Linked DNA regions of Canis lupus familiaris. The protein of the gene in region 2 binds, or shares a complex with, the protein of the main gene of each other region. Links are inferred from orthologs where the notes say so. Each region holds a gene or a part of one and is shown on either strand. Other genes may lie near its edges. The genes, in order: UBE2J1 and HERPUD1.

Region 1 (3,111 bases), on a different chromosome or scaffold from region 2:
ACATAGAACGCCTGGGTGGCTCAGCAGTTGAGCATCTGCCTTTAGCTCAGGGCATAATCCCAGTTTGGGGATCGAGTCCCACATCCGGCTCCCTGTGAGGAGCCTGCTTTTCCCTCTGCCTATGTCTCTGCCTCTCTCTCTGTGTCTTTCATGAATAAATAAATCTTTAAAACAAAACAAATAATCTTATAAGTACAGAATTGGATATTATCCAATTGTACAGATGAAAGAGCTGAGTCTTAGGCTGAATAATTTGCCCAGGATCCTGCATCCCCGAAGTGCTAGAGCCTGCCTGGTAATTAATGAATGATAAGGCTGCTTGTTTTAGTCATTGTATTCTCTCAAACTAATGGAAAAAAATAACATGTATAAAATAAAATCTTTAAGCTGAATCAATCTCTTGTGCTAGTTCCTGGATTGATAGCACCTTTGTGTTTTTTACTTTCCTTAAGAACCTTCCCTGTAAGCCTTGAGCACTTTTACTGCATTAGACACTTTTAGCTTCTTGGCTGAGAAATCAGAAGAATGGGAGATTTCAAATGGAATGTTGCTGTATCAGCCACTATAACTCAGCTCAACCCAATGAGTGCTTATTAAGATAATATGATGCCTGCGACAGTGTAAGACCTCGTAGTTCCTTTTCTGTCTCTGTGTTATGGGTCACTACATTCGAGTGCTTCCAAAAGACAATTTTAAGAAACTCAGATTATTCACACCTTGTAATGTTGAAATGAATGTCAGATTTAAAATGTACTTTCTTCTGTAGGTAACTTAGATCAGCAGTTTCTTCCCTAATGTTTATAGCTGTTGCCAGAACAAAGCTCATCCTCTTATGCTTTTTAAAAAGTACATTATTGATTTTTTTCTTCTATTTGAAATCTTCTCTAATGGAAAGTTTTAAAAATATTTTTTATTTACTCAGTTTTTAAAGTTATCCTGAAAAAGACATGCATTCTTATTTTTTATTTGAAAGGCTATTGGTACTAATATAACCAATATAAAGTTTTCAATAAAAGAATTAAAGGCCACTGGGTTATTAGAGGTAGAGTTAAGGTATCTATATAAATAAAATGGAATTTATATTTTGTAGAGCTTTCTTATCTATATACCATATTTAAGATTTTTGAATCACTTCGTATCACACTGTAATTATGCTAGGCCCAGTAGTCATTGAAAGGACAGAAAACAATTGATATCTTGTGCTTTGTAGGGCCCGCTACTGTGCCAAAGTATGCTTTATATGCATAAGGTAACATAATTCAAATACACAGTAAAGAATTATTCTAGACTTGTGCTCAATTCACTTTGCAGGAGTTATGAGAAAAGACAAACTTGGCTTGAAAACATCTGATTTTTATAACAGTACTGCTGTGAAGAAAGTATGGTTTGAAATTATTCCCTATGCTGTATGATTGTTGGTGGAAGCATGTGGATGTAGTCAGATAACATTGGAAGAGACCTGGTTCATGAAAGGCAAGCTGTTGAGAGTTAAAACTTTTTGCCATTTAGTCTGGCAAATTTTCAAGCCGAAAAGAAATCAGATTGCTTCCCTTCTTAGCTCTCCTGTAAGAAAGTAAGATGCCCAGATGCTTAACATATATTGCTGGAGTTGTAGCTACAGGAGGGTAGAAAGCCATCTGTAGAGCACATGGCCAACCTCTGTTCTCATCCTATTTGTTGCTGATAAAGTCCTCCTCTACCTGATGAGTATTCAGAATAAATTGTGTTGTTGGCTTGTTCAGGAGGGTAATTAGTTTCAGCCTTCAGATCATTCTTGGTTGTTTTGCCCATAGTCATATTTTAGTGCTCTGAGGTTTTGTGTATTCTTGTAACTTCCATATATACAAGTTTTCTTTGCCAATTTCAAACAAGATTTCCTAAAATTTCCTAGTATGGAGCCCAGAACCCCCCAGCAGCATCCCTTCAACGACCTGCTCAGCCTGTAGTTAAGAATACCTCCATGAGCCCTCGACAACGCCGAGCCCAGCAGCAGAGTCAAAGAAGGTCGTCTACTTCCCCAGATGTGATCCAGGGCCAGCAGCCAAGAGACAACCACACTGATCATGGAGGATCTGCTGTTCTGATTGTCATCTTGACTTTGGCATTGGCAGCTCTTATATTCCGACGAATATATCTGGCCAATGAGTACATATTTGACTTTGAGTTATAATATTGTTTTGTGTCTTAAGAGCTGTGACTCAGCTGCTTCATTAAACATTCTGCATTGGGTATAATCTAAGAATTGTTTACAAAAATATTATTTTGTATTTACCCTTCATTCCTTTTTTGATCCTTATAAATTCAGTATCAATATAGCTAGACTTTCAGACTGTGTCTGCTTAGTTTAAGGGACTAGAAAGTCAAAGTCCCTTGTCTCACCATATGACCTGCTTTACAGAGAAATAACTTATTGTTTCTCATGCCTCAACTTCTTTTTATGTAAATTTGTGATACTTTTCTGTATAACCCTTTGAAAATTTTGAATTAAAGAAGGTGTTTTAAGTTCCAGTGAGTATTACTAGTTACTCAATATCATTTATTGAGTACTCTGTTTCTACTTATGTAGAATGATCTAGGGATAAGAATTGAAAAGGGAAAGTAGAGCTCTTCAAATAGCTTGCTGAGAATGTCATTCATAGGAGATAGACTGGGATGCCCATTCTGTGACTTTGTGTCCTAAATGTTGTTCAGTGAAAGTAATTATTTCAGTCAGACATTTATGAGGAGAGATTACATCTTTGTTACTGGATGTTACTTGGAGGGAATAATGCTTTGTAACCACTTTGATATGCTGTTATCCCCTTCTCTCCCAAATGCACACAAGATTCAAAAACAAAGGAAACAGTCCTCCATAGAGCTTTTTTTAAGGAAAGAAGGGTCCAAGCCAGGAAATCACTTGATTTTCTTCCAGAAGTCAAACGGAAGGATCTTCAGATTTTAATGTTTGCTCTGCTTTGAATTGTATATCTTTTGAAGGTATTATATGCCTAGCTTTGTAATCACTATAAATTTAATTATTCTAGGAATAATGCATAATGTTGAAATATTTCATGTACCATTTTAATAGAAAAGCTCAGGGCCCAAGTAACAGTGATAGAAATTAGAAAAACC
Region 2 (4,397 bases):
TTTCATATACAAAACTCCTCTATAGAAAGTACTGAACTTTGAATTTCTCTTTAACATGCAAATAAATTTAGGATGGCAAATTATCTCCAGTCCACAAAATCTATGATGACCTACTTGACTTTTAAACTCCCAAGGAAATTCCTTTCTGCCACTAAAAACACAAATTGTATTTGGGGATCCCACAGCAACTAACTTCAAAACCTGGTTTGATCTCAGAGAAAACTCAAAGTACTCCCAACCAAGGTCAGCCTTTACCAAAATCACCTAGTATTGTCCTAAGAGAAATTTTTTTTTTAATTTTAAGATTTTATCTATTTATTTGAGACAGTGTGTGTATATATGTAAGCAGGGGGAGGGGGAGGGGGAAAAGCAGACTCCCCACTGAGCAGCTCTATCCCAAGGCCCTGAAATCATGATCTCAGCCCAAAGCAGACACTTAACCAACTGAGCCACCCAGGACCCCAACATAAAGCAATTCTAAACTAAGCTCTCAAAGAGACTTTTCCTAACATACAAATCCAAGTATAGAGGAAATGGTGCGTAGGTAGTATTTCAGAGAACTCTATGAGGCTTACTACCCCTATTGAAGGGAGGAAAAGTCTGAAACTGACTTGTCCAAGTTCACCCGTCACTGAAGAGTCAGGATTCCAACCGTCATCTCCATTCCAGTGATTTCAAAACCACAGGGACTCTACACATTTTCATATAAATCTCACTTTTAAAATCAACTAGATTTTAAATTCCTTTAAAAACCATACTTAAAAATAACGGCCTCAAATGATACATACCAAAGCCAGTACTCTATAGAGATCACCAACCCAAGGACAGAACAATTATGCAAAATCTGGAATAAAGTTGCTCCTGCCAAGTAGCTGGAGATTATAAAGCAAACTGTTTAAATCAATCAAAACGATAATTGCATCTATTTATCTGCATAAATCAGGATTTTTTTTACACCACGCACCTTGAACTACAGAACCAAATTGGATACTATTTTTCACCATTGTTCTGATTGACTTTACAGGTAATGCTATGCACATAATCTTGTTAAATGCTAGAGGTGGGGTCCTGCATTACATAAAGAGTTCCACACTAGTAAAGGTTTTGAAAACCACAGATGCCTGTTTTTCCCTTTAAAAGGCCTGACCTGGGATCCCTGGGTGGCGCAGCGGTTTGGCGCCTGCCTTTGGCCCAGGGCGCGATCCTGGAGACCCGGGATCGAATCCCATATCGGGCTCCCAGTGCATGGAGCCTGCTTCTCCCTCTGCCTGTGTCTCTGCCTCTCTCTCTCTGTGTGTGACCATCATAAATAAAGAAAAAATTAAAAAAAATAAATAAATAAAAAATAAAAAAATAAAAGGCCTGACCTGACGTTCCATCAAATCAGAAGGCTGATTTGAAAAAAGAAATTAAATATGCTAAACTATTATAAAAGTAAGAAACCAAATGACGAGTGCCCCTCCAGTCATAATTTTTATGCACAAATTTACACACCTGAGAGGTCTTTTATTTACAATTTTTGGGTCTTCAGACTTAATAGGAGTGACGGTTGTCACCCAAGGAAGCCCTTAAGGGAAGCTCTCCTCCAAAACACTTTTACCAAATGATGCAACTAGGGACCACACCTATCTGTGGACCTAACAGCTATTCTCACAGCACCTGGGCCACCGAGTTTCTTGGAAACAGTTGTGGTGAAACTACAAATAGTCCCAAGGGGAATGCTGAAGGAATGACAGCTTTTTAGGTAAACTAGCAAAATTCAAAGAATAACTCGGAAGGAAAGCTCACTTCTACAATTCCATATTCAACAATTAAGGGATAAAAAGCCTGACAACTCCCCCCTCTCCCCCCTCCCCCCCAGCTACCACACGCTGCAAATTTTCAGGTAAGAGGCAACAATTTCAGTCTTTGTCGCCCAGATGCCTTCTCCTGTTTAAGGCAGAATCGCACTTGTGGGCAGCGGAGCACACGGCTGACACTTACATAATATCAGGGTACAAAGTAAATACAGGAAGGTCCGGCTCGCAGCCTCCGTCACGTGGTGGGGAGGGAAGGGAGGGCGGTGCTAAGGGGGATGTTGACAGATGTGTCAACCAAAACAAAGCGAGGAAGTCTGTAATTGAGGAGCCAAAGCCTTAACGCCCAGACCCTGCCTGCTTCCTTCTAAACCCTCTAAGCAGAGAGTGCGCGGGGCTCCTCCCCGGGACCAGGCACAGGCCGCGGAGTCCGGCGCGCCGGGCAGGGAGGGGCCGCGGCGGAAGGCGGCGGGCGAGGGGAAGAGCCACGTCTCGCTGCCGGCTGCGGCGCCCCGAGGACACACGCACTCCTTGGGCGCTCCCCCGTGTCCCCAGCCACGGGCCGGGGCTGGCCCCGCTGGCCCCCGCCCTCCTGCCCCGCACCGAGACGCTGCTTCGGAAGATCCCCTTCGCAGCATTCCTGCGTCCCCGCTTCTATCCAGTTCCCAGTGCGCAACGCCTGTCGCCCTGCTCTTTCGGGGAAACGGAGTTTGGAAGGGTGCGAGGACTCACCCAAGGTCAAGCCGCGGGCTCGGCGGCGGGGCCAAGGCCGGAAGCCAGACCCAGGGGACGGGGCAGTGGTCTGGGAGGCGGGGCGGGAGGGCGACGGCCGTAGGGGCTGGGGGACACGGGACGAGGGACGGGGAAGGCAGCCCGTCTGCAGGGCGGAGCGATGGCGGCGGGGCAGGGCGAGACCCCCGCGGGGAGGCGACCTGCGGGGGACCGGCCGTCGGGCTGGGGGCGACGCGCGAGCCGCAGGGATGGCGGCCGCGCCGGGGGACGCCGGCAAGGGGAGTCGGGGCCCCTCTCACCGGGCGCTCGGGGTAGACGCGGCTCAGGTGGGCCTTGAGGCGGCCCACGCTCCAGCTGCGGTCGCCGCTCAGCTCCAGGTCGCGGTGGCGCTGGTTGGGGCTCTTCACCAGGAGCGTGACGGGCTCAGGCTCGGGTTCGGGCTCGACCTCCATGTCGGCTGCGCTGTGGGCTCGGCGGCGCTCCGAGAAGCCAGGCAGGCGGCGTCGGGGCCGCCCACAACCTCCGCAACGACCGCTCGCGTCTCTGGGGCGCGCGCCCCCGCCTCAGGCGCCTTTTATAGGCACCTCGCGCTAGGGCTCTGCGGCGAGGACACTCTGTGGCCGCCGCCCATTGGCTGGGGCGGGGGTCACGGCCCTAACGTGGCCCAATCGGCGCCCGGTTCGTGGGCGGAAGGGCGGGCCGAGCACGTGGTCGGGGGCTGATGCAACCCGTCGCCCTTGCGTCACTCGGAGTCCCGGCTGCGGCCCCGGAACCCGGGTTCGGCGGCCATGTTTGGGTGCGCTGAGCCCCGGCGGGGCGCTGAGGCCCGGACGGACCGGGGTGCGGCCTTGCTCCAGGCGCCTGTGGGGGCACGGGCAGGCAGACCCCCCGCTTGCAGGCTTCTGCAAATTGTGTCCTCACAAAGCAGCTCTCCCCGCCCTTTCTGACCCCGGGTGCCGAGGCTCTCTGCCCCTTTCCCTTCCCGGCGGTGCGGGCGGCCCGGACGCCAGGCCCCGCGGCCTGCCCTACGGCGGAGGCTTCCCCACGCCTTCCGCGGCCTCCGCCCGGAGCACGGCGGGCTGGGCCCCGTGTGCGAGTCCCGGGGCCTCGGCAGGGGAGGACGCAGGCTGGACTCCCCCTGCGGCCTGGACGTGACCGCGGCCCCCGCGGGCGCGCGCATCCCCTTTACGGCGCCAGCCCGCGCGGCCTTCCACTGCGGCGGAGCCCCCGAGGCGAGGCTTCTCCGTGTTCTACGAGGTGGAGGTGCCGGTGCCGGTGCCGCTGAGGTAGGCCAACCTCCCGCCCTCGCCTCTGTAGGAAGAAAGGTCTTGAAAAACAGCACCGACGTGGTGCGGGCCCCATCCCGATGCAGGCGTCTTGGGACGTCTGTCCCTGCGGGTGCCGGGAGCGCGGCAAGGGCAGGCGGCTGACGCGAGGGGCCTGGTCGGGCCGGAGGCTGCAGGCCGCGGACCGCAGGCCCGAGGGACAGAACGCGCTGTGCCCTGGGCCAGGAGGCCGGAGCCACACATGGAGGTGCTGGGCCGGGGTTGCTCCTTCTGAGGAGGGCTGCGAGAGGGAATCTGTTCAGTGCGTTTTCCTGCTTCTGGTAGTTTGTGGCAATGTCTGCAGTTCTGGGTGTGGGGCTACAGCGTCCCAGCGCGGCCTGCGCCGTCAGGGTGCGTTCTCCCTGTGTGCGTGCTTTTCCGCATCATTTTCCCTCCATGCAGGTCTGTTTCTGCGTCTCAACACCCCCCCCCCTTTATTATTTATTTACTTATTTATTTTTGTTTGTTTAAGAGAGAGTGTGAGCACAAGGGGGGTCAGGGGGCGATGCGGAGAGAGACTCTCAAGCAGACTCCATTCACTCAG

What was found.
Region 1: HERPUD1 (region 2) and UBE2J1 share a complex: the UniProt entries of both Homo sapiens proteins name them as parts of the HRD1 complex. The link is inferred for Canis lupus familiaris from reciprocal best matches to the Homo sapiens genes HERPUD1 and UBE2J1.

What each region holds. Positions count from the first base shown.
Region 1 is NC_049233.1:48,761,065-48,764,175, reverse strand, and holds part of UBE2J1 (ubiquitin-conjugating enzyme E2 J1), read left to right. Parts: intron 1-1,891; coding exon 1,892-2,170; 3' UTR 2,171-3,111. UniProt on the Homo sapiens protein: Catalyzes the covalent attachment of ubiquitin to other proteins. Functions in the selective degradation of misfolded membrane proteins from the endoplasmic reticulum (ERAD) and is essential for cells to recover from ER stress.
Region 2 is NC_049223.1:58,668,708-58,673,104, forward strand, and holds the start of HERPUD1 (homocysteine-responsive endoplasmic reticulum-resident ubiquitin-like domain member 1 protein), read right to left. Parts: upstream 3,092-4,397; 5' UTR 2,981-3,091; coding exon 2,828-2,980; intron 1-2,827. UniProt on the Homo sapiens protein: Component of the endoplasmic reticulum quality control (ERQC) system also called ER-associated degradation (ERAD) involved in ubiquitin-dependent degradation of misfolded endoplasmic reticulum proteins.